Linked DNA regions of Ovis aries. The protein of the gene in region 3 interacts with the protein of the main gene of each other region in a biochemical or structural test. Links are inferred from orthologs where the notes say so. Each region holds a gene or a part of one and is shown on either strand. Other genes may lie near its edges.

The links. The genes of interacting proteins can lie anywhere in the genome.
Region 1: the proteins of KIT (region 3) and GRB7 form a complex in vitro, tested with the Homo sapiens proteins (3 studies listed by BioGRID and IntAct, with this or other methods). The link is inferred for Ovis aries from reciprocal best matches to the Homo sapiens genes KIT and GRB7.
Region 2: the proteins of KIT (region 3) and LYN form a complex in vitro, tested with the Homo sapiens proteins (2 studies listed by BioGRID and IntAct, with this or other methods). The link is inferred for Ovis aries from reciprocal best matches to the Homo sapiens genes KIT and LYN.

The regions. Positions count from the first base shown.
Region 1 is NC_056064.1:39,850,270-39,854,105, reverse strand, and holds part of GRB7 (growth factor receptor-bound protein 7), read right to left. Parts: exon of another isoform or gene 2,191-3,836; intron 1,904-2,190; 5' UTR 1,899-1,903; coding exon 1,747-1,898; intron 1,631-1,746; coding exon 1,477-1,630; intron 1,296-1,476; coding exon 1,139-1,295; intron 1,045-1,138; coding exon 917-1,044; intron 833-916; coding exon 755-832; intron 506-754; coding exon 368-505; intron 30-367; coding exon 1-29. UniProt on the Homo sapiens protein: Adapter protein that interacts with the cytoplasmic domain of numerous receptor kinases and modulates down-stream signaling. Promotes activation of down-stream protein kinases, including STAT3, AKT1, MAPK1 and/or MAPK3. Promotes activation of HRAS.
Region 2 is NC_056062.1:36,227,953-36,232,654, reverse strand, and holds part of LYN (tyrosine-protein kinase Lyn), read right to left. Parts: intron 3,210-4,702; coding exon 3,078-3,209; intron 1-3,077. UniProt on the Homo sapiens protein: Non-receptor tyrosine-protein kinase that transmits signals from cell surface receptors and plays an important role in the regulation of innate and adaptive immune responses, hematopoiesis, responses to growth factors and cytokines, integrin signaling, but also responses to DNA damage and genotoxic agents.
Region 3 is NC_056059.1:70,927,805-70,932,506, reverse strand, and holds part of KIT (mast/stem cell growth factor receptor Kit), read right to left. Parts: intron 1,075-4,702; coding exon 960-1,074; intron 1-959. UniProt on the Homo sapiens protein: Tyrosine-protein kinase that acts as a cell-surface receptor for the cytokine KITLG/SCF and plays an essential role in the regulation of cell survival and proliferation, hematopoiesis, stem cell maintenance, gametogenesis, mast cell development, migration and function, and in melanogenesis.

The sequences.
Region 1 (3,836 bases), on a different chromosome or scaffold from region 3:
TCTGCTACGTACTGCAGGTGCCTCGGATCCTGTGCAGCACGAGTGAGCAAGACTGTACAGGCAGACCCTATCCCCCTCTCAGCATCCCCCCTCAACCAGCTGGGGACAGTTCAGGCCCAGAGAGGAGCAGAGAAGTGCCCCGGGTCACACAGCACATAGAAGCAGAGCCAGGACTTGAACTCAGTTCACCTGGCTCTCCCATTGCTACCTTCCAGGGCAGGTGAGCTGGGAGGGGAAGAGGGGTAGCTGAGGGTCTCAGGGCCTAGAGGGTGAAAGGTCTAGGAGTTCCCGCAGAGAAGGGGCAGCTCCTAGAAGCACCAGGGATGGGGTCTCCGAGGGGCCGGGGCTGTCACCTTTAAGACCTCACCTTGGAAGTGCCCTTGGTGGAGTAATACAGGCCAGAGCGGCGCAGGAAGCAAAAAAAACGTTTCCAAAGCTTGCGCCCTGACCCCCGGAGCTGCAGGAAGCCCTGGATCTCTGGGAAGCTGCCTGCATTCAGGAAGTTCTGAGGATAGGAGAGCAGGGTGAGAGGCCTCGAGGTGGCCACACACACACACACACACACACAGAGGCCTTCCTAGCACCTGCCTCAGTGGCAGGGGTTTACATTTACTGTCATTTAACAGAGGAAGAAACTGATGCTTAGGGCGGTGCTGGGCTTTCCACCCCATAGAGGGATGGCATGGACTTCAGGGCTAAGAAGCCCTGGGCGATCCTGGGGAGTCAAGGCCATGAAATGGGAGTGGGCCCTCACCTGGATGATGTCCTCATGGGACATGCCCGTGTGTGCATCCAGACAGCTAGAGACCATCTTTTCTGGGAAGAGGGAGTGCTGGGGGCAAAAGGAGCCAGGAGTCAGGACTGAGGATCCGGGTGGGGGTTGGGGTGTCCGGGCCCAGACCCCCCTGTTACGCACACTCACTGGAGTGCTCTTGAACAGCTCGTATTTGGCAAAGTTCTTCCGGAAGACGATGCGGCTGTCTCCACCAATGGGCCAGGCAGCCTGCACTTCTGCCACTGACTCATGATCCTCCAAGGCCCGCTCTGGGGTCAAGGGCAAAAAGCAGGGGTCAGTGGAGGCCAGTCAGGTGTGAAGCACTGCCTCCCAGGCTAGGCAGTCCCCTGCGGCCCAACTTACCCAGTGCTAGGTAGGGGTGGCACTCCACCAGCCCCCAGTTCTCGTCACTCAGGGAGTGAGATCGCTGCACCAGCATCTCGCACACATAGCGAGCCGTGGCCCCTGCCGCCACCTCCACCGAGCGGCAGGTCCCATCTTCGCTGTACACCTTTATGACCTGCACCCGAGGAATGGCCGGTGAGGCGGGCAAGGGCAAAGGGTGGTTCTCTCCCATCCCCCTCTGCTCTACCCTCTGGGATCCTTGACCAAGTCCCCTCCACCCAGCCAAGGCGGCACTATATCTGCCCCATCCCCCAGCACCCCATGCTCCCTGCCTTCTCTTTCCCAGGGAAACTCACATGGGGGCAGCTCGTGTCTCGAGGGAGCAGCCCCCTTGCACTGGAGGACCCCCCAAGAATGGGGCTCTGTGAAGAAGGACTGCAGAGCTCGGGGAAGGGGTTGGGGATGGAGGGCAGAGAGGTTGACTGTAGCTCCTCCTCTCGAAGAAGTTTCCTGGGGCGGGAGATGGAGGGGAGGAGTTGCTAGTAAGCTTCTGTGCATTACCCTAGTGCTGACTGCTCCCCCCAGCTCCCCCCAGCCTCCCTCTGTCAGCCGACACCCCACTTTACCTGCTGGTTGGAATGGGCAGAGGCTGGGACCTCTTCACCTCCCCAGACAGAGGGGCATTGAGAGGTGGGGGAGTCCCAGGAGGGGTCCCAGAGGCCAGGTACAGGTCTTCTGGGGAGCTGCTGAGATGAAGTGGAGACAGACCCAGCTCCATGACCTCTGAGGGAGAAGAGGAACAGCTGCTCTTGTGCCCTTGTCCTGGGGAGAGGGGCCAAGGGGACCCAGACCTCCTTCACCCTTCTGTCAGGCGCCCCTCAGAGTTTATCTGGCCCCTCCTCGATCCGCAACTAACTGGAGTTCCCTGGAGCCTCTGGGGAAGGGCAGCGTTGAGTCCCTGTTACAAAAAGGGACTCTGAGCCCTGAAAAAGAAGCACTCCTGCCTCATCACAGGTGAGACAGGGAGCAGAGCTCAGCGTTTGGACTCCCAGTCCAGCGCTCTTCCTTACCCCAGGTTGCCCAGGGGAAGAGCGGTGAGGGTCCCCTCACCACAGGCCAGGCAGCAGCGACGGACTCCCTGACCCCCACACAGCGGGGCTCAGTGGCACCCTTGCACTTCCCAGTGTGGGGCACTCACTCCTCTGGGCTCTGCCCCAGGTTTTCCCAGCGCTTTGTTGCCAGAGCCTGTTGTGGCAACGCCTGCTCAAGCGCTGAGTGATGCACAGAAGGAGAGAAGGAGGTGGGGAAGGACAGGAACCAGGAGGACAGGAGGCGAGCTCAGTTGCAGTGGGAAGAAGGCGAGTCTGGGGCCTGCGCCCCAGCGGCCCCCAAACCTTGTGTGCCTTCGTTAGACCCCTCCCCCTCCCCAACTTTCTTGAGGCCTCAACGCCAGAGCCACCTCCTCTGAGAAGCCTTCCAGGATTTTCCACATTCAGACTGAAGGGCTCCCTCTGGGCCCTGTGCTGGGGCCTCCGCACCTGTCTTATCCACCCACTGGTCTGAAGATGCCCAGCCATCCCAGGCAAGGCCAGGGTCTTACCCATGTTTTATTGCCCACAGGCACTACACGGCATCCAGGACAAGGATAGAAGAGATGGGGCAAGGATGGCCACCAGCAGGTGGAGGCATCGCAAGCCCCTCCTTCCCAGGAACCAAGACCCTTTAGGCTGGGCTGAGACCTGGGAGGACCTGGGAGGACCTACAGTTCTGTCCCCTGCCTGTGCTCCAAATACTGGGCCAGCGCTGTTAGCTTGCCTAAGGCACCCAAGATCTGCCCCCCTTCCCCGCACCTGGGATGAGACAGGTCCCCAACCTTTAAGTGAGGACAAGAGGAGATTTGGGGGACAGGTGAGTCAGGGTGGGGCGGGACACACTGCCTGGAGCTCTCCATTCACCCTTGACTCATCTCCACTACTTCCTGGCTTAGGAGAAACACAAACAACCCTGCCTCTACCCATCCCCTCCACTCCCCCCCCCACCACAAGAACAGGATTGGGGAGGAGGAAGATGTGGGGGGGGGGGGGGAGGCTGAGGCTCCTCTGACATCATCTCCTCCTCCCCACCTTTGGCCTACCTCCAGTCCAGGTCCAGGTGCAACCTGCAAAGGGCCCCAGGTAGCCACCACCCAGCCCAGGAGCCCCCTCACCCAGGCGGGAGAGAAGAAAAGCCTGGCCGGGATTCAGAAGCCCATCTGGAGTGGAGCTGACCTCACAGGGGTGCCCCTGGGGTACCTAAAGTAACCCAAAGAAACATGCAGTGCTCCTTCTCCTGTCCAGAGCCCCCCAGACTTGCATTCTGCTGCTGCTGCCCACCCTTAGCATCCAGGACTCGGCTGGCCCGGGAGGGTCTCATCCTTATCATCCCTGGGAAATGAGGGTCCTTTTAATTCATATACTCTCCTGGGCGTTCTGATCAAAGGCATACTCAGCAGCAGGAGTGGAAAGTCAAGACACACAGGAAGACAGACACAGACAGGCAGACAGGGGAAGGCCAGGAGGGAGAGCCAGCGACGAGGCTGGGGGCCCTGCCAGGAAGGGAAAGATCCACCTACCATGGAACACCAAGAGACACCAGCACGTCAACACCAAAACACAAGGCCCCCACTCCCACCCCCGTCTAACCTCTGGCAAACAGCCCTGCTCACTTCATCCCAGGG
Region 2 (4,702 bases), on a different chromosome or scaffold from region 3:
GTGTTCCCACAGTCCCCGCTCTCCTGGAAATTCCTATACTGAAGACCTAGCCCCCAGGACCTCAGAATGGAACTGCGTTTAGACATAAGGCCTGTAAAGAGGTGACCAAGCCTTTAGGGTGGGCCTAAGCCCCATTTGACTGGTATCTTTATAAGAAGAGGTGATTAGAACACGGGGATGCCAGAGAGAAGACAGATGGAGATGTTGTCTCAAGGGCCGAGGATGAGCCTTGGAGAAAGCAATCCCGTCAACACCTTGATCTTGGACCCCTACCCTGAAGAACTGCGAGAAAACACATTTCTGTTGTATAAGCGATTCAGTTTGTGGTATTTTGTTACAGCAGCTCTCAAAACTAGTAGAGGGGCTAAGGACATTTCTGTAAGCAACGTAATCCTATAAAGGAGGGCAGTACGAAGAGGCTCTAGGCAGCATTCAGCTGCCAAAGTAAAAACCAGTGAACGTGATAAGCAGAGACAGAGCGAGTTCTCTTTAACGACAAAAGGATGTTGGACCTGACAGATCTTGTGAATAAACAAGCCCAATTCTAACATTTCATCTCACTGTCTTTTGCACTATTTTTTTCCCCCAGCTTCTAATGGTAATTAATTAAAAAAAAAAAAAACCATCATTTTCTCACCTATTATCTCCCAATACTTTTTCAAAATCAGCTTTTCATTGCAAGTTTACTTAAAGAAGTCAGGATCCTTAAGTGAGCTAGACCAACTGTTTCATTTCCACTCCTCAAATTGTCCTCAGGACAAGAAGAGGCAGAGCTCGGCAGGCTCTGGGGAGGGAACCAGCGTGCCTGCGTGCTACGTCACTTCAGTTGTGTCCGACTCTTTGAGACTCCATGGACTGTAGCCCACCAGGCTCCTCTGTCCATGGGATTCTCCAGAATACTGGAGTGGGTTGCCATTTCCTTCTCCATGGGATCTTTCTGACTTAGGGATCCATCCTGTGTCTCTTAAACATCTCCTGCACTGGCAGATGAATTCTTTATAACTAGCTCCACCTGGAAGCCCAGGGCACCCACTATTCCTGCCGGGCTCTGCAGGATTGCTGACTGTGGAGGATGGCTTTTACTCTAATCACTTGTCTCAGGTTAGCTCAGACACTGAACTGTCCGTCTTTGACACTGAGAAGAGCTTTAAGGGGAAAAAAAAGGTCATTTTAATAGTATTTTTCTCCATCATTAAAATGGGATAATAAAACATGCTAATTCAGCCATTTTAGCAGCCTTCCCTGGTGGCTCAGTGGTAAAGAATCCGCCTGCAGTACAGGAGACCTGGGTTTGATGCCTTGGTTGGGAAGATCCCCTGGAGAAGGGGATGGCAACCCACTCCGGTATTTTTGCCTGGAGTACCCACGGACAGAGGAGCCTGGCGGGCTACCGTCCATGGGGTCGCAAAGAGTTGGACACGACTGAATGAATAAGCAACAACAACAACAGCAGGGGCTGGAGGTGGGTAGGTGGGTCGGGGAGTTAGGGTCTAATGGGTACAGTATCAATTTGGGAAGATGAAGACGTTCTGGAAATGAATGATGGTGATAAGTCCAGTGGGTGAGGGCAAGGTGGCCAGGATTCCATAGGAGGCAGTGATGCGGCTCTGGGCCAAAATCTCCTTCTCTGAGCCCCAGAGCCTTGTCCACAGATCACTGTGGAGCATGCAATACCTACCACACAACACTTGTAAGGTTGTATGTTTATTGATCAGGTGTCATATATAGGCAAAGTATATAATCTTTCTCTATAGGTTGCAGATTATAGATAGATATCTGGGCTGATTCAGAAATACCGTCCCCATTTTGCGGTGGTTTTATTCATTAACTTCGGTGTCTAGAGCAGAGCAGCCACCAGAATATGAAATCTGGCACCGGAGGGTTTCACGGGACCGTCAGCCCACTGTGTAGGCCCCACCCAAAGGCTTCCCCCTCCCGCCAGCCCTCTAGGCCCAACAGCAGCAAAGGTGACTAGGAGCCTAGAGGCCACATCACTGCTCCGCCCCAAAGTCTCCCATCTCTTGCAAAGTCAGAGGTGAAGCCCCTGGGCAGCCTCTGAGGCTCACATCCGCTCCACGTCATCCCCACACCTCCTGCCCCTGCTCGGGACCGGTGCTCTGGCTGTTTCCCCCATGGGACACCCAGCCCCGGACAGCCCCTGGGGCTCTCTGCCAAGGCACTGAGTCCCTGCTGCTACTGGATCGCTTTTAGAACCTGCACCCCACCCCCTCACCCCAATCCCTAAACCATCACACCCTCCCCCAACAGCATACTTCCCATCCTACATACGGTCCTTATTATCAGTGATTATTACAAATGATTGTAATTAATACTCAACCATTAGCTCTCAAGGGAGGAGCTGGGACTGCTCCATCCAGCACCTTGGGAATGCTTAGCACCCTCAGATTTTTGAATGAGGGAATGATTTAAACATTAAAGGTTTACTTTTAAACTGGCCATATCCATTGATTTTGTGAAAAGCCCAACATTAACAAGAAAGAGAAGGCTTTGGGGAAAAGTCCCTCTGCTTCCATGTTCTGGAAAAGGGACGGCTGGCAGAATCTGGCTGGGAAGATGCTAGGCATCTGGAAATACTGAATGACGTCCCCACAGCCAGTAAGTTGAGGATGTGAAGAATCATTTGTTTGCAGACAGAGGTGGTTGTCTCTTGAAGTGGCAGAGACTCCAAAGTACATTATACAAATCTCTGTTTCAGAACTGACCAAGCAAGAATCATACAGCATCATTTCTATGTCCGTTTCCTCCACCATCCGGCGCGAGGCTTGGGAGGAGCCCCGTGTCTAGTCCTCCAACCATGTTGCTTCAGCAATATCTGTGACCGCGCCAGGCACATTCAAGGCTGTTGGTGGTGGAATTCATTAGTGGATCGAAAGACATGCACTCAGACACGAAGGCGGAGAAGTGTCTAAGCATATTTTACAATACCTTCCACTAAAGACAAAGTTCTCACACCCTTGTCTTTCCTCTGGATATTTGTTCATCTTTTTTATGTCTCATACCACCTGGCTTTTTTCTCATATATATCCCGCAAATGGAAATAGGTAAGTAAGCAGTACCTGGGTAGGGAATTTTCCCATAGGTGACAATTTCGTACAGGAGAATCCCAAAGGACCACACATCAGACTTGATGGTGAAACATCCGAAGTTGATTGCCTCTGGAGCTGTCCACTTAATGGGGAACTTAGCACCTAGGGGAGAAGACACAGGGGCTTTACTTGGGTCTCTGAGCTGAAACGAAAAAGTCACAGGCGTGTGACTCTCACACTTTCCTTCTTTGAGGGGGAAAGTTTTGATGATTTATTTTGAATGGGTAACACATGCATATCCCAGGTGGCTCAGTGATAAAGAACCTGCATGTCAATGCAGGAGACCCAGGTTCAATCCCTGGGTCGAAAAGATCCCCTGGAGAAGGAACCGGCAACCCACTCCAATATTCTTGCCTGGGAAATTCCATGGATAAGAGGAGCCTAGCAGGCTACAGTCCATGGGATCACAAAGAGTCAGACATGACTGAAGCTGGTGAGCACACAAACACACAGAGGCCTGTCAAATTCTACAAAACCAATATAATAAATTGATCTCCTGGGTCTGAATCCTGGCTCTCCCACTTACTATATGGCTTCAGAAGCTTCTGAGCCTCTCCTTTCTCCTCATATAGAAGGAGGAAACAATACCCTACTTATCATATAGGGTTACTGTAGAGATAAATGAGGTAACGTATGAAAGGCACTTAGAACAGCAGCTGCCTCACTGCACAGCTCACTACCTGCTGCTGTCGACTGCTGGTGCTGTTGTTCAGCTGCTCACTTGTGTCTGGCTATCTGCGACCCCACAGACCGCAGCACACCAGGTTTCCCTGTCCTTCACTACCTCCCAGAGTTTGCTCAAACTCATGTCCATTGAATAGGTGATGCTATCTCACCATCTCCTCCTTTGTCACTCCCTTCTCCTCCTGCCCTCAATCTTTCTCAGCATTAAGGTCTTTTCCTTTTACCTACTTCTTCTCAAACTGTTTTCCCTGACCTGCCATTTTGCTGAAGGTGATTAAGGCCAAAGATACATTATAGTCCACTAAAGAGTTACCAAAACTTGAGGCAGGAGAACCACCTTAAGCGTGACAAATGCAAGAGATGTTTCGCAAATCAAAACAATGTTTTCAGTCTGTTTGTCACAGCTATGAATTCTGTGGGCACCTTCCAGAAATAACACACATGTCGTTAATTAATCCTTAACAAGTCTTAGGCATGTCAAGGAAGTGCTTGGCTCTTTCAGTAGAGAAAGCACTGCAAAAAACCCCCAAACACTACCCACTGAACTTTCAGGAATGAGACTGTCGGAGTCCTCAGATCACAAACAACAGAGAACAGTCTCCAGCAGGAGAGGCCAGTGCAGCGCCAGGCGGGCCGGCCTCGGAGCGGCAGGCCAGGGACTTGGGGTTTCCACGTATAATATGGAACGTGGGGAAACAAAGGAGCGTGTTTTTGCAGTGTTACGTTTACTTCTGTGTGTGTGTGATAATTCTCATGTTTTAATTTGTATTGGGTTGGCTAGAAGGTTCATTCGGGTTTTTCCACAAGATCCAATGGAGAAAACTGAACGAAATGTTTGGGCAACCTGACAGTTAGAAGGCCAGAATACAGCCTTGAATAGTATAGCATAGAATTATCGTTACAAATATTTT
Region 3 (4,702 bases):
CTCCTCACTAGAATATAAACTCACTAATGGGACTCAGGTGTGTTTTGTTCACTAGACCCATGTCCAGCATATAGTTGGCATTCCATAAACATTTTCTCAGCGAATGTCTACAACTACTGGGGCTGTGTCCCCTGCGGGCAAGCTTTCCAGGGGTCTTGAACCTCCCTACTTCTCCCCCAAAGAAAACACTCAACTAAAACCCAGCTGAGAACAAGTCTTACATAACCTCTCCAACTTGCTGTTTATTTTTTTAAAAAAGAGCTGTTCTGTGAAAAATGAAATTTCTATTATTACTGTAACTACTCAATTGTGATGTTACACTGGGCTTTAAAGCCTGAGCGTAAAATAGCATTTGATGGATAAAAACAGTGAAGCTGACCCCATTTTCATCTTCAGGTAATGCGAAAGGACAATTTAAGGCTTAAGTGTGGATTGTGAAAGAGAGGAAGTACAATTCCAGATGCGCTCTGCTCAGGGGCTGGGCACCTCATCAAGGAGAAAACCTTTTTAAGACATGTAGCTCCCCAGCGCCATATGTATGGTAATTGTGCGATCATTACTTTTTTGGTAACTTGGCAATTAACTTCTGAGGTAATTTTTTTCATAATAACTACAGTCACATTTCCCACACATATTACCTCCTGTGTATATATTGGAAATCTAATTACTCTGTCCTGGGAAATTGCTTTATCTACCTGCAGGCTGGAAATTGCATGATAAATCCAAAAGATAACCACCAAAATAAAGATGTCGTTCAGTAATCATGTTTCAACAAACAAAATTAATGTCTACCAAGAAAAATATAGCAATTATGCTCTCTAAAAAGCCACATGGATAGAAAAAAATTAATCAAAACAAAGTTTTAAAAAAATAATAATACTTTGAAAACATATTTGAAATTCAACTGAATTGCAGTCTTCCTGATGAGTGTTAAGTGGTATCCAAAATAATCATCTCACCTCTGCTCGGTTCCTGGACAAAAGTACCAATCAATGGTTGGCTCTGGGAACCCTGCGGCCACGCACTGTAGCATGCCATTCACCAGCCTGTCATGCGTCAGAATTTCTGGTTTTGCTGGAGGAAGAGAGAAGCGGCCATATGTCAGACTGCTAGAAAACCTCACCAAGGCTCCCTCCACAATTTCTGAATTTTTAAAAACTTTCTCAAGGATGAAAGGGACCCTAAGGGAACATGTTGCTCAAAGGGGAGAATGTGAACCAGTGAATGGAAGGTACAGGTAGAAGGATGTGAAGGTCTGACCACGAAAAAGGCTTTCCTGGTTAAAGCTACCCAGCCCCCGTGTGGACTGTTCATCCTGTGGATGTGGGGGTCTCTGAGCTCTCCCTGCCTCAGGGATGACTGAGGTTGCAGGACCACCTGGCAAGGTTTCTGTTCCCAGGGATGGGGAACCTGGAAGATGGGTTCTAATCAGGATTCTAGGGTTCCCAACTGTCTAACAGGTGAAAATGCTGAAGCTCCAATACTCTTGGCCACCTGAGGCAAAAAGCTGACTCATTCGAATATACCCTGATGCTGGGAAAGATTGAGGGCAGGAGGAGAAGAGGGTGGCAGAGAATGAGATGGAATGGATGGCATCACCGACTCAATGAACATGAACTTGGGCAAACCCCAGGAGATAGTGAGGGACAGGGAAGCCTGGTGTGCATGAGGTTGCAAAGAGTCAGATGTGACTTAACAACACTGTTTATTAAAGTATTCCTGCCATCAGAATCTCATTGGAATTTCAAGTTATTGCAAGAACTAGAAGAAATTAGGAGGAGTTACAGGAAGAGATAAGATCCGCCCCCTCTCGAAAATTTCCCTCCTCCTTTTTTTGATGGGGGTGTGGAAGGGATGGTGCAGACGAGCAGCTGAATCACCCCTTTATAGAGAAGCCAAAACATCAGAGTAAAACACAATATGGGCTTTTAACTCCAAACTTTTATTTCAAATGCAAAATAGGAATAGAAAATTAGAAGAGGAAACCAGCCCAAGAGTTTTACTCATACATATGTCTAAACCTGAGTACAATCACTGAAAAAGTAAACTGTATCAGCAGGAATGCCCTAATTTGACATTTCTGTGTAACTATAATAATCAACTGATATTCAATCAAAGGTACCCTGCAAATTCTTGAGATTAGTGAACGGGAAAAGAACTTACATTCAGCTGTTCTACTGGTAATACACTTGAAGGATGTGAACCCTCTAAGAATGAGTAAACTATACTGGAAGCATCTGACGGCAGGGACAGTGATGAGTTCATCCTGCATCCCTGGCACAGCATCGCGGGTGCCGCCCCCAAGCCTGTGCACAGAGCTGTGGGTGGCCCTGTGTGTGGTGGACAGAACTGTACCCAAGCTCTGGCTTTTGGTGGCTCTCTGCTGTCCACCAAGTCTCCGGGTATCCAATGGGAATAACAACAGTAACAACAGGAATTCTTCATAGTGATGTTGTGACAATGAAGTGAAATGATTCTTGACAAAGAATCAAGAATGATTCACAGAAATCAAACAGTAAAAGCATTAATTAATGGGACTTCCCTGGTGCTTCAGTGACTAAGAGCCTATGTCCCAGTGCAGGGGGCCTGGGTTCGATCTTTGGTCAGGGATCTAGATCCCACATGCTGCAACTGAAGATCCCACATGCCTTGACTTAAGACCCAGAATAGCCAGTAAATAAATTTTCAAAAAAATTTTAAGTATTAATTACTACTTTATTACTACTCATTTATTATTTTTTCTCCTTAGAGTACCCACCCTCCTAGGTTAATCAAGTTTGGTACCAATTAAGTTAACTGTATTGGTCACTCTACATATTCTTTTCAATATATAAAGATATTAGATATTGAAGAGAAACTGCTTAACACAGCATGATAACATGTATGTGTTTTAACCCAAAGAACTGGGAATTTGACATTGATTACATTGCAACTGATAGGAAAAATAAATATATTTGGTCAGAGGAAAAGGCCAACAGGTCAGAAACTAATTTCTTCGAAGGAAGGTAATGCTGATAAATGACATCTTTGTAGAACAACCTCTCAGCACCTCATCTCCTTGCAGGCAAAATGGCTTGGCAGGGATCAAAGTGTCTGCATGCATGGCACACCCACCTGTCATTCAACCTGGCCCTGCTGATGGGCAGGCCATTTGGCTAATACACACAAAAGAGCAACACTCCAAAAGCAATCTCAAGGTAGGGGCATCCTTGAGAGTTTGGATCCAACGCCAGCTTTCACAAATAGAGCAAGAAGACAAGCCATCGTCTTGCAAAAGCGTCCATCTGGCAAGTTTCATTTAATTATCATGGGCAACTGTGTGACCAGGCTGAAAAGTAGGACATAACACAGAAAATAGTGGAACTTGAGGAGAATGCTATTTGCTGAAGACGGCAGGCGCCATACGGCAGGTCTCTCTGGACTGAATTCAAGTGTCATCTCCTTTTCCTAGCCATCCTCAACTCTCCAAAGCCAAGTTGGTTGGTCTCGCTTCCCTACTCCCGAAGCACTTTAGAGCACCTGACGCACTTCTATAATATCCTGGTCTGCCTCCATCCGACTGTTCTCAAGGGCAAGGACCATGTCTTACGGACTGTACTTCTGACTTCTAGCAGAGTCTGACCTGTGGCAGACACACAGTAAGAGCTGTTAATTATTAAGTCCTCCCAAAGAAACAAGTCCTTCAAATTCCAAAGGAATTCAGTGTCACAAGAAGGGACCTGGAATATCAGCCTATGGTGACTTTCCTGTTACATCATTTTTGCAATAGTGGGCCACGAGATAAGAAATCGGCACATAAACCTGGCCATGTGGATTTTTTCTTCCATACTGAGATTAACGATGAGAGAAGGTCCACACACAGATAGCAAAGATAACTGGATAGAATCCAACTGGACAGAATTCAAATGGGAATCAAGTTCATAAGACAGATTTCCTCATAACAACCTTCCTCTTGTCATTCATTGTTCCTGGATTTTTAGTGGAATTAACTATTACTCAGTAGGAAAAAAAAAGAGGGGGCTGAAAGGGTGCATTATATTTATAGTTGTTGTATCTGGGTAGTAGAGTTATACATCAATATCTGTTTCATTCTTTTGACTTATTTTCTAATTTTTTTTTACAATGAACACAGCTAATAATAAACTTATAAAACACTGGAACAGTTGAAAATTACATAATCAATTACATTTAGCTTTGGTTACAAGTGCCCTAAGATCCAAGCCTTCCAGCACGACACCTGGTAGCAGCTATACAATGGCCAGGGCTGGCAAACAGTGTGGTCTGGCTGGCCTACTTGTTCCTGTGTGCTGGTTAATCAGGCACATTTTTAAGCTACTATCCCAACTATAACCTGAGGCAAGCCAAGCAGCTTTTGTCCTGTTGGCTTGTAGGCTGGCCAACCAAGCTCAGAGGGCCCCTCAAACTTCAAGGTGCATTTGAAGCACAGAGAGATGAGGTTAAAAAGCACATTCCTGGCCCACCTCATCTCCCCCAAGATTAAGTAATTTGAGAATCTGACCCAGAATGGGGTTATTTTAGAAAATCTTCAAGGGACCCCATCAGGGCCAGGACAAGGATGTGGCAAGAAAAACAGCTAAGGTGAGGAATTTAAGAAGGCTCTCATCCTCCAGGTCCTGCAGATTCAGGTAGACACCAAGAGTGAGCACCTCCTTAAATTCTGCACCCTAGGCATCTCTCTTGC